Linked DNA regions of Arabidopsis thaliana. The protein of the gene in region 3 interacts with the protein of the main gene of each other region in a pairwise test. Each region holds a gene or a part of one and is shown on either strand. Other genes may lie near its edges. The genes, in order: HAM3, NIMIN-3, UNE16 and ERF8.

Evidence for each region.
Region 1: the proteins of UNE16 (region 3) and HAM3 interact in binary tests that used the Arabidopsis thaliana proteins (3 or more experiments, as listed by UniProt).
Region 2: the proteins of UNE16 (region 3) and NIMIN-3 interact in binary tests that used the Arabidopsis thaliana proteins (3 or more experiments, as listed by UniProt).
Region 4: the proteins of UNE16 (region 3) and ERF8 interact in binary tests that used the Arabidopsis thaliana proteins (3 or more experiments, as listed by UniProt).

What each region holds. Positions count from the first base shown.
Region 1 is NC_003075.7:56,203-61,785, forward strand, and holds HAM3 (GRAS family transcription factor), read right to left. Parts: upstream 3,294-5,583; 5' UTR 2,904-3,293; coding exon 1,227-2,903; 3' UTR 938-1,226; downstream 1-937. UniProt on the Arabidopsis thaliana protein: Probable transcription factor involved in plant development.
Region 2 is NC_003070.9:3,036,693-3,040,918, forward strand, and holds NIMIN-3 (NIM1-interacting 3), read right to left. Parts: upstream 1,717-4,226; 5' UTR 1,557-1,716; coding exon 1,218-1,556; 3' UTR 1,062-1,217; downstream 1-1,061. Other genes in the region: AT1G09410 (pentatricopeptide (PPR) repeat-containing protein), read left to right, coding at 1-868; G6PD4 (glucose-6-phosphate dehydrogenase 4), read right to left, coding at 1,948-2,185, 2,279-2,479, 2,555-2,751, 2,822-2,978, 3,098-3,132, 3,232-3,340, 3,421-3,626, 3,758-3,872 and 2 more.
Region 3 is NC_003075.7:7,935,341-7,940,785, forward strand, and holds UNE16 (Homeodomain-like superfamily protein), read right to left. Parts: upstream 3,306-5,445; 5' UTR 3,158-3,305; coding exon 2,974-3,157; intron 2,700-2,973; coding exon 2,623-2,699; intron 2,515-2,622; coding exon 2,460-2,514; intron 2,370-2,459; coding exon 2,291-2,369; intron 2,213-2,290; coding exon 2,143-2,212; intron 1,947-2,142; coding exon 1,524-1,946; 3' UTR 1,266-1,523; downstream 1-1,265. Other genes in the region: AT4G13630 (zein-binding protein (Protein of unknown function, DUF593)), read right to left, coding at 1-63, 140-689; AT4G13650 (Pentatricopeptide repeat (PPR) superfamily protein), read right to left, coding at 4,271-5,445. UniProt on the Arabidopsis thaliana protein: Transcriptional activator. Probable component of the central regulatory system controlling transcriptional responses to Pi starvation. Binds in a sequence-specific manner to phosphate starvation-regulated promoters.
Region 4 is NC_003070.9:19,819,976-19,824,120, forward strand, and holds ERF8 (ethylene response factor 8), read right to left. Parts: upstream 2,278-4,145; 5' UTR 2,122-2,277; coding exon 1,564-2,121; 3' UTR 1,362-1,563; downstream 1-1,361.

The DNA.
Region 1 (5,583 bases), 7.9 Mb from region 3:
TACGTCGGCGCGTCTTAGTGGAGCCGAGCCTGCGTGACCCAGGCCTTGCTTGTTGCGTGACTAGCTTATGTTCACGTAGGCATGTTACAAATCAATACACACATTAGTTGACAAAAACTGACCGTTGATTTGGTTGATCATCTCTCACAGGGAAACGACACATGTGTTTCTGCCGTACACGTGTAGATTGACCGATCACGACCGGTCTTCTGCTTGAGGACACGGCTTATGATCTGTCAAAACTAAACTATTCACATTCAATCAAATGTGTCTGTATCCAACCAACGTTTATTGCACAAGAGACAATAACTTGCGGCATATTGTCATTTTTCACTCACAAATTTTAGTCGTCTTTCTCCATTTAATCAACTCTTGATATGTTTCTAAAACGGAAATCTTTTGTAATGCTTAATTAGGACCTTAGATGTTTGAATATATATTTTAAATAATTATCCTAAATGATGTTTTAATATAAAGAGTAAACCAAAATATGTTGGTTTGTATTACTTAGATTAGCTTGTAATCTTTTTATTGAAATGAAATCTTCACATTAAAACCCCAAAAAAAACATGTTGATGTATTGTATACACTTGGTTTGTTTCTGAAATATTTCTATAGAGAAATGCAGTTAATGCGTAAAGCAAATGGGCGCATTATATATGTAATGCGTATGGACCATTTAAAGGAGAAAAAGCAAACCTTTGTTTCGTCGGAGAAAAAAAAAGGTTAGAAACGGCGCACACAAAAATGTATTGTGGTCCAAATAAATAAAATAATACAAGACCCATGTGACATCATGGAGACATATGTTTATAAATTAAAAATAGACCCCTCGCAAAGACACAAACCACAACAAACTCTAACCATTATATAATCATATAATCACAATAATGAGCAGTAGCTTTCTGCCTCGCATCAAAATCAACACCCCATTCATTTTTAATTAGAAAAATATAGTATTGAGCTAATCCAAGCATTATTCTATCACGTTATTTAGTCGATCAAAAATAATCCCCACAATTAATATATATTGAATGTGTTATACAATAAGTGTTTGATAATCAGACAATTAATTAACTTCTCACAAAAATTTATATATTTGTGTGAAACTTAAATTTAAAAATCCATCGCACTGAGCAAAATAAAATCAGAAACTAAAAATTTGTCATTTAAGATAAATTGAATTAAGGAAAATATTTTTTTAATAATTGAAACTCCGGTGGAAATCAGGAGGAGCGACATCTCCATGCTGAAACTCCGACGAGTTCTGTCCTTTGCCAACATAGGAGAAGTGAGTTATGTTTCTTCTCGACGTGAAAGCCTCTCACTGGCGTCCGTTGGACTAAACACTCGGCTTGAGACTCCGTGAAGTTACTGTGCGTCACCGGTGAGAAACCCATCTGTAGAAACATCGCTTGCCACGTCATCATCGGCCTTTCTATCGGACGGCTACGATCCAACACCAGCTTCTCTATCTCCGGCTGTATAAGAAACCTCTCGATCTTCTGCATTGCGTCGAGGTTGGCGTTGACGGCGTCGAGGGATTCGAAGAGAGCGGTGTGTGAGTGCAGCGAGTGGGCGAGCTGTTGAGAGAAGGGCAGATCCGTCCTCTCGCATCCTCTGTCGGAGCAGACGATGATCGTCGGAGATAGATGCTTCACGAAACGGAGGACCAAAGGGAGGTGCGAGAAGGACGCGGCGGAGATGTTAACGGCGACAGCTTCTTTCTCCGACGAGTTAGGCCACGAGATGGAGCCGAGGAGGTCTAAGCTCAAAACTTGGATGTCAAGGGAGATGTTGATCTCAGAGGCGAAGTGCTTGAGGTTGTCTTGAGTGAAGCCAAGTTCGAGCTGGTCGTGGTTCGCCGGAGAAGCGAAAACGGTGATCTTGAGGGAGAGAGGAGCGGCGTTGTCGCGGAGAACAAGCTCTTGCATGAGGGAAGCCCATTGGCCACCGTAGCCGATATCGAAGTCGATGATGTGGAGACGGTGGAAGCCATGGAAGGACTCTAAGAGGGCTTGGTTGGAGGTAAAGTTGGCGAACTGAAGAACGGGAGAGATCTCTGAGAAGGATTTGTAAGCAGCGATCTTGAAGATGAGGGAATAAGGGTTTAGGGTTTGGGAGACGTTGTGAAGGAGATTATTGAGAGCTTCTTTGAAGTAAAAAGCTGCTCTTTCTAATGGCTTCCCGACGGGAGAAGAGAGCTGTTGATTGAGCCGCGCCAATATCCCCTGAGCTAGACACGTGTCGCTCTCTATGACCTCTGCTGCCTTAACCAGCTGCTCTGTTATCCCCACGGGACCAGGGTTGAGCCGCTTTGCCGGCGGAGGTGTATGGTGGTGGTGGCCGTAGAAGATAGCCGCAGGATTCTGTGTGTAGTGGGTTTGACTTTGGTTGATCAGAAGACCGGAAACATGTGACGGCGGAACAGAGTGGTGGTCTAAACCGAAGCCGGTGTCGACGACTCCGAAACCGGGTGATGAGTAGTCAGAGTCGTGGAAGGTGGGAGATGTTTGGAGAATGCTGTTGAGTTCAAGAGAGGGATCTGTGGAATCTCCCATGATGAGTCCGAGAATGCTCTGTTCGTGGTCATGAGGAACTTGCTCCTCCCAATCACCCAACCCAATGGCTCCGCATTGCTCATCGGTGGTGGCGTCGCCGCCGCCTCCGACGGCGCTGTTTCCGCCGTGAGAGGAAGACACCGTGGAGGAAGAGGTTGGGCTTATGAGGGAGTCCAGAACAGAGGTAGGCTCCGCCGCGGGAACTTCTTCCTCTTCTTCTTCGCCGCCTCTTGCTTTGCGGTGGCTCAAAAGCGGAGACGACGGTGGTTGGGGGAAGGAAGACGAGAAAGAAGAGAAACAAGAAATCCCCTTCCCTTGAAACTCTTCAAAGGGTAAGGGCATTGCAGACGATAAAAAATAGTGTATTTGTCTTCTTGAAGCTCTTCTTCTTCTTCTTCTTCTTCGTTGTTGTGATGTGGTGTGGTGAGGTATATTGGATGCGTGCAAGATATTAAAGTGGCAAAGTGGGCTTCCTCCTTTCTTTTTCTCTCTTATTTCCGTTTCCTATCATTTTGCCTTTGTCATTAACTTAGCTGATTAAACAATTCATCAGCTTCTCTTACACAACATTTTGTTAATCTTTGCTTTCTAATCTTAACTATGTCTTCTATTACAACCCCACTCTTACATCACGCGCGTGGCTTGCAAACTCCTTTCAGTGACATGAACATGATGGTAAACAAAAATACTAAATGTTATGATATATTTTTAAATATTGTATTTGTCTTCTTGAATTACTAGAAACTATTAAAAAAAAAAAACATTTTCCCCATATTTTTGATGTTGTACTGTATATTTAGATGTCATAATACTTGCCCAAAAAAAAAAAAGGATGTCATAATATATTGGGAATGTTTTTGTTTTCTTATAATTTATTTTCATGATTAAAACTTTGTGGCTTGCAAACTATATTTGGGATATTGTTTTGTTTTGTTTTATCTCAAAGGTGCTGTCGTTATTTCCTTTTGTGTGATCTTTGTCCCCAATAGTTTGTTTTAGGGTTTGGACAAGCTTTTGGATCATCTTTATCAAATTAACCACTCAAATCACCCAATCCATTGTACGAGCTAAACCACATATTGCAGTGCTTATATTAATTTGTGTTTCCTTTTTTTTTTTTTTTTTGCTACGGACATAATCTAAATTTATAAATCTAAACAAAGTGGAAACAAAAACTATGTATATATTGGAGTTACATCAAAAATATCTGTTTTGTTTTTCTTGTTTTAACTTAACGAGATACGAATGATCGTCATTATCTGAAACATTCATGTACTACTTATAACAAAGAAGGAGTTATATATATATTTACGTGTATATAAAAACATACTTTCTTTGGTACATCTTTTCGTTTGAAGGAAAAAAGTGATTGAAGATCTGTGAATGATGTTTCTTCTGTGACAAGTTAAATGCACGAGAGATTGAGAAAGAACGAGTGGTAGTCCTTTATTGAGCAGACAATGGAAGTCACCAATCACCATATATATACATATATAAATATATCTACCAATGGAAAACCCTATAATAAATAAATGAATAAAGCAATCAGAAAAAACAACAAGAAAGAGAGGTGGGTAATTGATGAAGACAGATTAAAATCGGACCAATTTTGCAATGAATGGCGACAGTTTCATTATCATGTATTCATGATAATGAAAAAGCATTTACTTTTCTATGCAAACCAATTCATTAGTATAAACAATATCAAAGAAAAAAAAAAAAGTATAAACAATATCAGATTCTGAATCTATCTTTTATATGCGAATTATGACCGCACAAAAAAACACAGAGTTCAGTTTCTTGTATAGTAATTTTTAGTCCCATATTATAATACTTGTTAAGTACCATAAATATTTGATGATTATTGATAGTTAACTTACTTTATATAACAACAAAAAGTTAAAATGTTCATTTTTAAGATTTAATTAGTTTATATGTTCCCATGTGATTTGCTAACAACTACTTCTCACACTTTTCTTTCTTATACAAAATTATTATAAATCTTGAAATGATCGCGAAACTGTATTAATATTATTTCTTATTGACATACATAATACACCAACACATTTTCAAGTTTCATGATATATTAATATAATATTTGGTATATTGGAATACTAAATATATGTGTGTGTTAACTTCGTGAGGGTGAAGTAAGTTACGTGGTGAAAACATGTTCTTTTCTCTCGTCTCAAGGCACCCTTCATCACAAGCAACACACCCAACCCCACTCAATCGGATAGTTCGTATGATGAACAGAATCGTGCTTTGCCATAATTAGAGGAAGAAACAAGTCAGCTAAATATATTAATCTTGTCAAACAATAATTTATATTGAAGGATAACGTGTTAGAGTTTGTATGCATGTAACCATATATAAATGATTGCGTCGTTCATTTTGTATTAGATTTTAGGATGATGATTAGTTAGATTAGACAAAAATTGATCAATTATTATTAGGAGATCACATGGGACTGATAAGGATAAAGAAAAATAGAGAAGATTTCTTCATCTCATTAGAGCCAAAGTAATAATAATTATGATTAAAAAAAAAAAACCAAGATCGGCGGGAAGTAATTAACAATTACCACAATATAAAGTTGGTAAAGGAATTTCCTTATTTCTTTAATCATATACATTTCCTTAAACATAATCTAACTCTCATTTGATCATTGACAACACATTACTATGATTCGACAACAACAACAAAAAAAAAAAAAAAAATTACTATGATCGAATGACACTCCAAAATACAGAAGTCTCTTAGAGCATTTCTAACGGAGAAAGTCCCTCCATGGGTGATGCAACGCATCTTTGCTTTGTTCACGCCTTCGATGGGCCTCGTCGTGACCAAACCTCTTTATTGTTTCTCATTCATGATTTAGTAGTTTATGGATTTTATTAAAGAGATAGGCTTTACCTATTGGGCTTTTAACTTCTTTTAAGAATTAAGGTTTTGTTTATGATTCTTACCTTACGTTGTAGAATGAATTAGCTATTGATTATTGAATAAAGAGTTTTAAGAG
Region 2 (4,226 bases), on a different chromosome or scaffold from region 3:
AAAGGTTTTCTGTGAGATGCCTTTGTCTGGTAGTACTAAGCCTAACGAAGTCACCTTCGTTGCAACTCTCTCAGCATGTAGTTACGCTGGGATGGTTGAGGAAGGGCTTAAGATCTATGAATCTATGGAATCAGTTTTTGGGGTTAAGCCAATCACCGCGCATTATGCTTGCATGGTAGATATGCTTGGGCGTGCAGGACGGTTTAATGAGGCAATGGAAATGATTGATAGTATGACTGTCGAACCAGATGCTGCAGTTTGGGGTTCTCTATTAGGAGCGTGCAGAACTCACTCGCAGCTGGATGTGGCAGAATTTTGTGCGAAGAAACTCATAGAGATTGAACCGGAGAATTCTGGGACTTACATCTTGCTCTCCAACATGTATGCATCTCAAGGTAGGTGGGCTGACGTTGCAGAACTGAGAAAACTTATGAAGACTAGGTTGGTAAGAAAATCACCAGGTTGTAGCTGGACTGAAGTCGAGAACAAGGTGCATGCATTCACTCGTGGGGGTATTAATAGCCATCCCGAGCAGGAATCTATTTTGAAGATACTGGATGAATTGGATGGGTTATTGAGAGAAGCCGGGTATAATCCTGATTGCAGCTATGCATTGCACGATGTAGACGAGGAAGAGAAAGTCAATAGCCTGAAATATCATAGCGAGAGACTAGCGGTAGCTTATGCTCTTTTAAAGCTATCTGAAGGAATACCCATCCGAGTCATGAAGAACCTTAGAGTTTGTAGTGATTGCCACACAGCAATAAAAATAATCTCTAAGGTGAAAGAGAGGGAGATCATTCTAAGAGATGCAAACAGATTCCATCACTTCAGAAACGGAGAGTGTTCCTGTAAAGATTACTGGTGAGATTCAATAAATGCCAAGCAGAATGTTTTTTTTTAATCTTAGGCTTAGCTATCAATCCTCGTTGGAGCGTTGGCAAAATGGAGTAATTCTCGCAAACCATAGGAACTTGCTCAGCCATTGATGAGAGTTCTCTCTAAGTTCTTCTGCTAATATATATATATTTTTTTACTGATCTTGTTATCAATGTGCATTTGTAGCATTTTCTTCAATATGGTTAATAAGAAGTGATGAACAATCTTCAAGCAAAACTAGAATTCCATGACACATTTGTTTTTGGTACGTAGTTACTAACATTCTTTGTTGCTTATACAGAAACTGAAGAGCTCTTTGTCTCTTGTATGTATGTATGCTACAGAGAAAGATTCAAGTCTAAACAAACGTTAGTCTCAGATCCTTCTTGCTTTTCCTTAGAGCCATCATACTCGTTGGATGCTGAAGAGCTCTCATTAGCTGCTTTTTCAATGTTGTTGGCCTCTGCTTTATTCATGAAAATGAAATCTTCTGGCTGAAACGAAGGGAATCTACGAACCCTTGCTCTTTCTTCTTCTTCCTGTCTCTTCTTCTCCATGGAGCTGTTGACATATTTCCGCATTTCCCTTGCGTTTTTAAGCACTGTGTACAACTTCTCCATCTTTTCTTCTTCGTCATCTTCCTTCTCCATTTTCACCCTCTTTCTGTCTCTGTCCATTGAACCGCTCTCTCTTCCTTCCCCTATGAAAATGTTTCTCTTTAGTTACATCATTTTCATCCTACTTTGATCATCAACACATGATACATCTGGAAGAATTTTCTGGAGGAATTGGTGGAGAAGATATAATTATTGCCTCTAGTGGGAAGACTAACAACATGACCTTATCTAAAAGTCTCTCAGACTTTCTTCTTTCCTTTGGGTGGCTTTGGAGACTTTTCAACACTATTATGGACCCCACCATGATGGACATTCATATAGCAACATGACATACATGTGTACATATGTACAGTCTACAGGGAATGGCACAGCTTCAAGCTAAACAAACACACTTCACAATAACCATTCAGAATCACTCTCATTTGTTTGTTGCTGCATCTATGTTTCTTCTTCAGTCATCTGCCCATGGGACACCGTGCTTGGCCCAAAGATAGTATGCCGCAACTGGTCCTCGTCCACCAAATTCATACAACTCCGGAGCTGTGTGATGCTTGTCTATCTCTTCTAGAACCGGACTAAGAATGTTCCATGCTGCTGCAACCTCATCGCTTCTCATGAACAGATGATTGTCTCCGTCAATTACATCATGAATTAGGTGTTCATATGAGTCTGGTACTTCGGTTTTATACCTACAGGTTTGATCCAACAATTCAACCAACCATAAGGCGCAAAAGTTCGATTTTTAAAATGTGTAGGAACAAAGATGAGAATGCAAAACTTGCCTGTCTTTATAGAGCAAGTTAAGTTCAGAAGCGTCTAGCTGAAGACCTAAACCAGGAACCTTGTTGTTGATTTTCACCAGGATGGCCTCATCAGGTTCGTCACGTAGAATAAGCTCATTTGTCCCCAAATCTATGTTTATTCCAATATTTTCTCGGTATAGGTTTCCAGGAACATGCCGGAATTGCACATGAATCTCCACTCTTTCAACATTAAGGCACACCAATCAATTGTTATGACAGTTGGATATGTCTATGAGTAGGAATAATTATTCTTACCTGTGTTTAATGAGGCCAGTGCCAACTCTTACAAGGAAAGGTACACCATCCCAACGTGCATTATCAATATACAAGGCTGCTGCACAATATGTAGGGTCTACACCGTTCAAGATCACACCGTTCTTGTCTCGGGAACTGGATTTATACTGGCCAAGGATGACATCACGCGGGTCTATCTTGCGAATTGATCTTAAAACCTTCACCTGCAGAAGCAGGTTTGTCACCAAGTCACTTGACAGAACAAGAGTACACAACTTACATATATACCATAAGACGATTTTGTTCTTTACAGTACAGGTTGACCTTTTCATTTCGGATATCTTCACCATCGAGACTTATCGGAGGTTCCATGGCAAGTAATGCGATTGTCTGAAGTATATGGCTGTGCACTATGTCCCGTATTATTCCATATCCATCAGAAAACCTTAAAAAAAGCAGTAGGAAATTAGAAAATAACATTACTGATTTGTCTAAGAATGCTGAAACAACACAATTTACTCTCACATGCAAAGAAATGGTGAAAATAGAACTATTGTGCCTTACTTTTCTGTTTGCGCAATTGATTCTGATATAATAACCTGGAAACATCATTTATACACAAAGTGAACAAACCAGAATGTGGAAGAGGAAAGTTCAGGCACTATACACAACTACAAACAATCAGAAGGAAACACTACCTGTATATTGCGTATGTATGTTCTGTTCCATAGTGGTTCAAAAACTAGATTTGAAAACCTTAACACTGTCAGATTTTCAATGAGGTTTCTTCCTAACATGTGATCTATCCTGTAACGGGCACAGAAGTGTGAAGAAATATGAACTTGAGAGCTGTGCATGCAGAAAGCAACTAGATTTAAAAGAAGGACCTGTAGATTTGCTTCTCTTCAAACTTAGAGAGAAGTGACTTTGTTAACTGATGAGACGAATGTGAGTTAAAACCAAAAGGTTTCTCAACTATTATTCGAGTCCAGCCTCGTGGTGCCTGAGCGTTATCTCCAATGGTGCATGCCACATCCACCAGAGCTTCTTGAGGTACTGAGAGGTAAAAGATTCTATTTGCTTCTGATTCTCCCTGAAGAAGAAAAGCTGTTAATGTCTTATTCTATCTTGCTTGTCTGTTCAAAATGTTGTAAACTCAGAAAGAGGACTACTTCTGGGACAAAATGTAATCATTGAAAGAAAGAAAAAAAGGTACTTAGGAACCTCAATCTGTTTCATTCTCTCGGCAAGTCGGGACATCCCATCCCTGTTATTATAACCTCCATTGATATAGTATGTTCTACTCTGAAATGCATCCATCTTGCCCCCACAATTCTCCCTGAACATTTAGCATCATTCTTTAGCTAGCACGGCCGTATATCAGAGATACCAAATTTAAGGTAGTACCAAGAATTATACATACTGATGATCAACACGGCAAGTCAGCGTTGATGCAATGATGGATCTGAGGTCTTCATCTGTCAGATTCTTTCTTGAAACCCCAAATATAGCAACATCCTGTGACAATGAAGACCAATCAAGAAGACAACCGAAAAAAACTATCCAACTGTTTTGCTGCTTACTTTGTAATTGTTCATGAGCACAAAAGTCATACCTCAGGAAGGTAGCCGCTATAATACAACGCAAACAATGCCGGGAAAATCTTCCCTCTTGCTAGCTCACCAGTGGCTCC
Region 3 (5,445 bases):
ACCCAACAGAACTTAGTGAAACACTTTTCCGCAACGACACATCCTCCAATGCTTTTCCACTATCTACAATGTTACAACTTGCATCAAAATCAACATTCACTATCCAATATAATTGAATAAAGACAACAAAAAAACTTACCATTGGAGTTCACAAGAAGAGGATCATTTTCATCATATGATCCCTCAAAGCTCTTAAGGCCTAAACAACTTTGGTAATGGTTCTTGAAACCATACGGCGACCTATGGAAGCTAAGCCGCTTACTCTTAACTTTAAAGCTTCCTTTTTTCAAACTTTGCGCAGTTAAAAGATCGAACCCTGAAGCCTTATTCTCAAACTTTCCAACAGAAGGAGTAGTACTAGATACCTCATCTTCCAACTGAACACGTCTACGCTCACATTTTCTCTTCTTTCCACCATTATACAGAATTGAATCAAAAGGTGTTCTATTTTTAACAGATCTTTGAACAGAAGAGATCTTTTTAACCGGAAGATTCCTTAAACTCTCTTGAAAACACTCACTGTATAGACCATCACAAGGACATGGTAGGTCTAAACCAAATAAACCGAGGAACTTCGATGTTACATAAACGATAAACGATGCGCAAAGTAGCGAAAACGCAACGGAAAGATCGATAAACGCAGCCACTAAACCTTTAAATGTCCATGATTTTACCTCCTGGCAACGCATTTTATACCTGCAAGTATACAATAATCTACAGAAATTACTCAAAGTTTGAGAAATTGGTTAGAGAATCAAATTGTTATTTGAATCAATTACAAGCATATATCCAAATCTAAGACTAATTTGGTAAGTTAATCAATCAATCAATCAAATTATATATAAACACAATCGTTACCACAGAGAAAACTCAACGATGAATCAATCGTTAACACAGAGAAACTCCTTGCGATTTGATTAATTTTTAGTAAATTAGAGAATTGAAACTCACACGAAGAAGAAGAAGTTGAGAAATCTTGGGGAAGCAAGCACAACGTAAACGGCTCTTCCTCTGCCGTTTTTATTTTCTCTCTTTGTTCAAAAATCAAAACTTCTTTTTTAGTTTTCAAAACTTCAGTTGCAAATCACCGTACGAGTGAGCAGATACGCCGTCATTTTATCGCCGACCCCATCACTCTCTTCCTCTTGAGATTTTTTTTTTTTTCTTTGACATTTTATTTTACACACGTAATCAAATTTGTGCATTTACGCAAATGTGTGCCAACTAATTTGTAGACAAGATCCAATCTATAGCATGGAGATAAGTTATGAGTATTTAATGAGTATTTTTTATGTTATACAATTACATAAATTCTATATTTAGGTTTGTCCAAAAAAGAAAAAAGAAGGCAAGCTTAGAAAAAGTTGAAGCAAATACACAAACTAAAAGAGAGGCTACAGATTCAACAAATATATACATAGACGCTAAGACAAGTTTGATGACAGAGTTTAGAGTTAAATACAACATAGCAAAATTAAATAAGCTAAAATCTGGTCTCGCTCTCTCTCTCTCTCTTGCTAACTTCATCCAATGCTACTACTAGGCATAACCCATCCAGCATCATGACCAACAACCACACTATCTCCATTTCCAAACACTCCTCGTTGTCTCTTCTTCATCAACGCAGCTGATACCGGACTTCCTACAGTGCTGGAAGTCAGAGAGCTCTCTGCTGAACAGTTGTTCTTGTGCTCTATTGCTACTGCAAGCTCGGATAAGGATGGAATCATCATTTTGGTTGTGTCGAAGGTGCTTGTTGTTCCTTGGCACCCATTGGTGATGGAGGCCTTTATGGCTAGCTCTGAAAGCTCTTCTCTAGCTGCCTCTAACCCAGCAAATGCAACAGCTTGCTCCTCTATAGCCTTGCAAGCTTTCTCTAGAATTGATTGCAGGTACTTCCCTTGTGCCTCGATCCTTAACTGGAGTCGCCTTTGCACCTGCGTATACTAATGGATCTTATTAAATGTGGAACCAGGGCTCAAACATTAGTATATGCGGTTTCTATGGTTCTAACTTTCATGAAAAGATTTCCTAAGTAGTAACGTTCTGATAAGCTTTAAGGAAATTCAATGGAGGTTTCTATATAGTCTCTCATTAACCAAAGTCTCTCTGGTATTTGGTGAATTCGAAGAAGAAACTAACCTCTAGTTGCTCGTGTAGTCTTCTTTGGACTTCCATCTGGGCACGCAAAGCTTCAGTGACCTGGTAACTCCTGGCTCAAGACAAAAACAATGAGTGTTATAGACAGTGAATATAACACTTGGAATAAAGAGAACACTTGAAACCATACTCGTTCTGTTCTTGAGCAGCCAATCTTAAGGATGATGTTGAAGATGAACCAGTGTCCTGACTCTCCGCAACACAAGAAACTACAGAGATATAAGTTCACAAAGATATAAATGCACAACTGAATCCATAAAGATATAAATGGATTCTTAGCTAAAGATATAACTGAATACCATCCTTAGAGTTGTCAATTGATTCTTTACAAGATTGCCTCCCCAAGCGGAATTTCTACCGAGCAAAAAACCAGAGAACAACACAGTCAAAAAGCAATGAACTTTGTTTGTTATAAGTAGCCAAAGAAGCATAATTTGATATTGAAGGTAGTAGCATCAAAACCTGAAGATGAGATTTGAGATGGTAAAGAGTGAGACCCTTCACTCCCATTGTTCTCATTATAGTTTTAGGCGTTGCTTCTGACATCAAACCAAACACACAAAAAAACTAATCTTGTAAACAAATCTCAAGGCCAATAAAAAAAACCTAAAGAATGCCACAGTAATTCCTAAATTGTTCTAAGTGACATAAACCCAAGAAATCCATTCTATTTCAGGATGATTGACTTCCAAATCTGAAAGAAATTAGACCTAACTCGTTGTCAAATTCTTCGTACTAACTGAAGAACAACAGATTAAAAAAAAAAACACATTTCATTCTAAGATCCATAAATTTCTAAGAAGGGACACTTACTGTCGGGTCCGCCGAGCTGAGTGACGGCGTCAACGAATCTTTCATGGAGCTCAGAGGTCCAACGAAGGCGAGGCTTGGGGTCAGTGGTTAGGACCAGACAAGCGTCGATGGGAAGATTGGTTCCGTCAGAGTAGTCTCCCAAGCTGCCATCTAGAGGAAGCGAAGACCGAATCGCCGAGTACATTCTTCTTTGATCCCCACAAAGGAACAAACTTTTCTTCGTTTCTTTTATTTTCTCGGCTGTTTTCCCGGGAAAGTGAAAGAAAGTGTGAAGAAAGATATTGTGGATTTCTAAGACAGCGAAGAAACGAGTTGATAGATTGGACAAGACAACACTCGGATAGTATTTTGTGTTTATATTTGTGCATTATTGAATTTATTTAGATATTTTCAAAAAAAAAAAAAGAGAGAGCAGAATTTATGTTTTGGTTATTTGTACTCTTTGCATTGAAATTCCAAATAACATATATGTTTTGAAAAAGTAGTAAGATAAAATTTCTTTTAGTTATTATTTTCGTTTTTCAATAGCAGAATAAAACTTCAAGTTCTCTATCTTAAGATGGTGCTAACTGCTAAAATAAACCAAATGAAAAAAGAAAAAAATAGGGTCCTCAATTTTTTTTTAAATATCAAATCCTTTAAACCTACTAGACATTTTTCCAATTATTTTTCTTTTATATAATTCAAGAGAAAAAAAGTATTCTTTAGCTTTAGTTTTTTAATTTTTATATTACTATTGACAAAATTTGTTTATGTAATAGCAGTTTCCAAATTCAGCCACATAAAACATTAAGAAATCAGAAGCACATCAATCATTCATATGCATAAAGAGAGACTCTGTTTCTTGGCAACATAGAATCTTTATTTTGAGACACTTTCTCTTAATCTACAATTCATCAATTTTAAAGCCATAGATGCACGTATATATGTAATATGTACACATATATAAGCCCCTAAAAAAGGATGGGGTATGAAAGATAGTGATAGTTACTTAGCAATGGTAGTAGAAACAAAGGAGTGGTTCGTTTTGTTAAGTCATCGATGGTCTCCTTTGCTCATGATCAACTCCTGCATCAACTCCAACTTTTCCTCAAGAACAGTCATGTGACTATTCTTTCCTTCAGGATAATACTCTTTGCTCAAGTATATCGTCTAGTATCATATCATTGCTGAGAATTCAGCTTACCCGTAAGGTTTGGTCCATGATCTCCTTCTTTGAGCGAGAACCAGAGCTCGAACTTTGGAACACAGACTTAACCTTCCCAAAAGAGGCGAGTGAGCTACCAGGCTTTGGCTCTTACCAGTAATCTTTACAAGAGCAAGCACCTCCTTCAAAATGATGAAACCTATATGCATCCCTCACTATGATTTCTCGATTTGATACCTTAGATACAAACTTTATCCAAGCATGGCAATCGTTGCAAACACGTAGGTTCTTCATTACATTTATAGGCACTGTTGCAGGCAAGCTAAGGAGTCCAAATGAAATTGCTAATTTCTCGCTGTGGATGAAAATTATTGGATCTTTTTGCTCGTGCTGCAGTTCATTCAATAGGCTGAAACAGTCTTGCACATACCCGATTTCAGATGCTCGTTTGGTAAGATCTTGGAAGTATTCATGTATCTCATCTGCTAACGGGTGATTCTGGTCACCAACATAGAAAGAGTGAATTGAGTTTTTAACTTCAATCCAACTTTGTCCCGGTTCTTTCTTCACACCCTTTTCTTTCATCTTTTGTCTTGTAAGATCCCTAGCATCCCATTTCTTGGACACCGCATACAGATTTGACAGAAGAACATATGTTGCTGAGTCTTCAGGTTCTAACTCTAGGAGATGATGCGCTGCAAATTCTCCTATTTCCATGTTCTTGTGCACTACACAAGCACTCAAAAGTGTTCTCCAGACCAAGGCATCTGGCTTAATAGGCATTTCCTGAATGAACTCTTTCGCACGGCTCAAAAGACCAGCTCGAGTTAGCATATCCACTACACACACATAGTGTTCCGGTTTAGGAGATAATCCATATTCTGAATTCATGGATTCAAAGTATGCAATCCCCTTGTCCACTAGTCCTATGTGGCTACATGCTGATAGAACTCCCACAAGCGTCACATGATTAGGCCTTACATTAGAATGTATCATCTGGTCAAAAGAATCTAGTGCTTCAGAACCAAACCCATGTTTAGAATAAGCATTAATTATCGCATTCCACGAAACTTCATTTTTCGTGGAGACTTCAAGGAACTGCTTCTCTGCATCAGAAATGCTCCCACACTTGGCATACATAGAGATTAAAGCATTGCAAACTTCGGTTTCTGAATCGTATCCGGTTTTGGTGATCACAGCATGAACCTGCTTCCCTTGTTTCATGTTAGCTGTCTCAGAAGCAGCTTTCACAGCAGACCCAAACGTGAAATTATTATTGTCAATTCCTTCTCTGTTCATTCGAACGAAGACACGAAGTGCTTCTT
Region 4 (4,145 bases), on a different chromosome or scaffold from region 3:
AAAACAAAAGTTCTTGAGTTTTCATCCAAAATAAAAGGCCATCGCCCAATGGCAAAGTTTCTTTAGTCAACGAAAACATTTGTTTACGTACAAAATAAATAAAATTTGGGGTCACACTAAATCAGCATTTTTGTTTTCTCATTGGGTCACTGAAGCTTCACAGAGGACACGTATTCATTAAAGGTGATAATACAATGTATTATCCAATATACGTAGATGAGTAAGTGGTCCCTTTTTGGTCGGAGAAATGGTCAAAGAACGAAAGGACCTAGTATTTGTTTTCGTTATTTTACTAAAATCATACAGTCACAGTCACAGAGCTCATAAACAGAGGTTTGTGTAAACGCCGTTATCATAAACACCGCGCCAAACACCTCAGCCGACGTGTCGCAAACATTGTCCTGATGACGCCACACGTGGATCGGGCTTTCGGATCCTAGTATGGTAGCCTTCGGTCCAGCATTAAATTTGTAACGTAAAAAAGTTGCAATCGTCAATTGATATAAAACATCTACTTATGGGAGTGATCCATAGTTGTGCGTAGTGACATGACATGGGTGTATATTTGGTTGAGTGGGGCTAAATGTCGTTAAGATAAGGGCTTAATTGAAACTATTCAACTTTCTAGAGGCCCCAATTTTACATCCCTTTATTATAACCCTTAACACGATTTTGTACGCATGCATATATATATATTTTAAAACATACTAACTTCTTTAAAAAAATATGAAATAAGAATTTAAATTATGTTAAGCGTCCACGTGGTAACGATGACGATTCCAGCCGTTGGATCTGCGACCATAGAGCATAACTGTTTTATACGTTTTTTGATCACAAAGTTGGCGACAAGAATCAAAATCAAATCTCATCCTTCCTTTGTCTCTCATTATGAAGCCGCCGCTCTTCTTATCTTCAACTTCCTTAAAACATTTTTACCATTTCAAATCGAATACTATTCAACTTAAGCAAGACTCTTAACCATCTGTTAATAAATCATCGGAGTTAAAAGAGTTGATGCAAAACACAAAAGTCAAAAGTTAGAAAAGCAGTCCAAACTGTGAAAATGACGTAAGCGTAAAGAAGTATTCTTCTAACGTACGCCGCAGCCAGAGAAGATGGGTCCGGTCCTCCCACGATTGGTGCGTGTCTTCACGACACTTGGACCATTGTCTTTTCAAGCCGACGACGACGATACTCATCACTATATTTAGTCTTATAATAATAACATTACCATTCTTTATCTATTTCTTCTACACACGAGCCCCAAAAAGCTCTATAATACTTTATCTTTTCAATTACGAATTTACGATGATGCATTTCCTTGGCAAATACTAAAGAAAAAAAAAAAGCTTAAGATCCTCTTATGTTACGTCGATTTATAATAGGGTTTCATAATAATATATACATAACGACTTTTTTTTCACGGCAGCTAAAAATTATATTGGAGCTTTTCTACACTTTCTTCTAAAAAACGGATAATATTTTTTTCTTAGGCAGAAAAAAAAAGGAAACGTTATTTTTTTTTGTCTAAAGAAACGACATAAGAAAAAAAAAACTCACGGCCTATTCCGCCGGAGGAGCTAAGTTAAGATCCAGATCTAACGGCGGAGATATCTTCCCAGCTCCACCTTCGAAATCAACGACCGACGACGTTTCAGACTCGCTCTGGACACCACACGTCGTCATCTTTGGATACGTCGCCATGTTATAGTAGTAAACCGGATGCACAAGCGGGATCTTACGACGACACGCGCCGCCGCCGCCTAAGCTGAGCTCGAGGTGCGGAGGTGTTATAAACCGTGCCGCCGTGGGAGAGTCGACGACGGTGCTACTCTGAGTAGGACTACTACCAACGATAACACCGAAATTGGTCTTAGCCTTAACACCACGAAAGTCACGCGCGGCTGCGTCGTAAGCACGCGCCGCCTGCTGAGCGGTGTCGAACGTACCGAGCCAGACTCGAGTTTTCTTAACCGGATCTCGGATCTCAGCGGCGTATCTTCCCCATGGACGTTTCCTAACGCCTCTGTAACGAATCTCTTTGGCAGCATTACTCTCATGATGAGTCGGGTTCGTTGGAGCAACCGGGTCGGGTTTCAAACCCATGGTGATGTTGGGCATGGTGTAATTAGGAAGAAGAATGGAACGAGAAGATCGGTGAAAGAGTTTTGTGGTAACGAGAAGAAGTAGAAGAGCTTCTTTTTATAGGAGAGTAAAGCAACGCTCCTTTTGGGGAGCTTTCTTGTGAACAGTCAAAGCCATTTTGAGAGATGGTTTAATTATCTCTCTCTCATGCTTCTCTTATTTCATATAAAAACTGGTTTTTGTTATTATATCCACTTATGTTTTGCCACGTGTTCACTTCTCTTTCTCCAAAAGAATCTTATTTATTACCCTTTTTCACCTTTGTAACAAAGACTGCACAAATCACAATCTTATAAATTAAGTTACTGCCTATTAAGAATATAATATAATTTGGTTTTTGCTGCATTTATCCCTATTTAAACTAGGAACATATTTGTACTAAATCTATAAAACATGTTATATCGCCACTTTGCAATTTTAAGTAATTTTTCTTATTAAAGCAATGTAATATGCGGATTTAAATCTATATAATGACATAACAATAATACTAGTATACACTATTAAAGAGTGTTATTAGTTTGTGATTTAATTAAAGTTTTAGTAACTTAAAATATTATAAAGAATCTATTGTTATTCAATTAAAAAAATTTAAAATATTAAGATTTGTAAAAAATAATTTAAAATCTTGATAAATCTATAGTTATTGGATTTATACTTTTATAAAATTATTATAAATTTTATATTATTTAGCTAAAACAAAAGAATCTATAATTGTCAATGAATTAAATTATTGTGTTATTGGTTTATGATTTTCTACACTTTTTCCAAAATAAAGTTACGAAAAGTATCATTAAAAAAGAAAGATTGTTTGAGAAAATTTAGAAATTGTGAAAAACTAATCAACAAGATTATAGAAAACTCTATAATAATAGTTTAGAAACTTTCATTTCTTTACAATCTATGATTTTATCAGATTCTTGAATTTTTTTTAATTAATTAAGAACTAATAACACCCTTTTAAACTATATGTTTTAGTTAGGTCAAGATTTATATATATATATATATAATATAAACTATTGTGTGTGTATCTAGTAGAAAAAATATTCAAACAAAATTATCGAATTTGTAGTTATATATGTTGTTAACACATAAACAAAAAAAAAAAAATTTGTAAGAAAATATATAGCGAACAAAATTTCTGAATTTGTAAATTATATACCGTTACATATATATATCGTTAAAGTGTCGACAAAAAAATATTTCTTACTTTTCTGTTTGGTAAAAGTAAAAATTATTTGAAATTTGTAATTTAGCGGATGTTACCATGATGACAATATATAATTTAGCGGATGTTACCATGAAAGCTTATTTGGTATAAAGGGAATAGAATAAAAATTTGTACTTTAGTATACCGTTATTCCGTTATAAATGTCGTTAACGAGCCGACAAGAAAAAAAAAATCTATTATTTACATGCTTATATCTGGTGAAAAATAAATATTATCAAACAAAATGACCAAAATTTTATATTGTAGTGGATTTTATATATGACGATATCATGACGAACAACGCATATATACTATTTGTGTATTTATTTGGTAAACAAAATATTATCAAAATAAATTTTTAGATTTATAACTTAGTGAACTATTTTATATATCGTGTATATACAAAAAAGAAAGAGATATCTACTACTTGCATATGTACATTGGATTAAAAATGAACACCATCAAACAAATAGATTCGAATTTGTTAGTTCTGTGGAGAAAATATACGTTGTTACAGTGACGGAAAAAAATGTCGCTACAGTGACAACAATAAAAAGACAAATCTATTATTTACATGCATATTTGTTTTTGTTTTAAAGAATACTATGGAATATATATGTTGGCTTTTATAGTTTAAAAGACTTTTATATATGTTGTCTATCGTGTTACCAATGTATATATATGATTGTAGTTAGAGTAAAGTATAATATAATCTAGTCAAATAAACGCACAACAAAAACTTTTTTTTGCCAAATTCAAACTTAAATTGTAAAGTAATTTCTTGATTATCGCT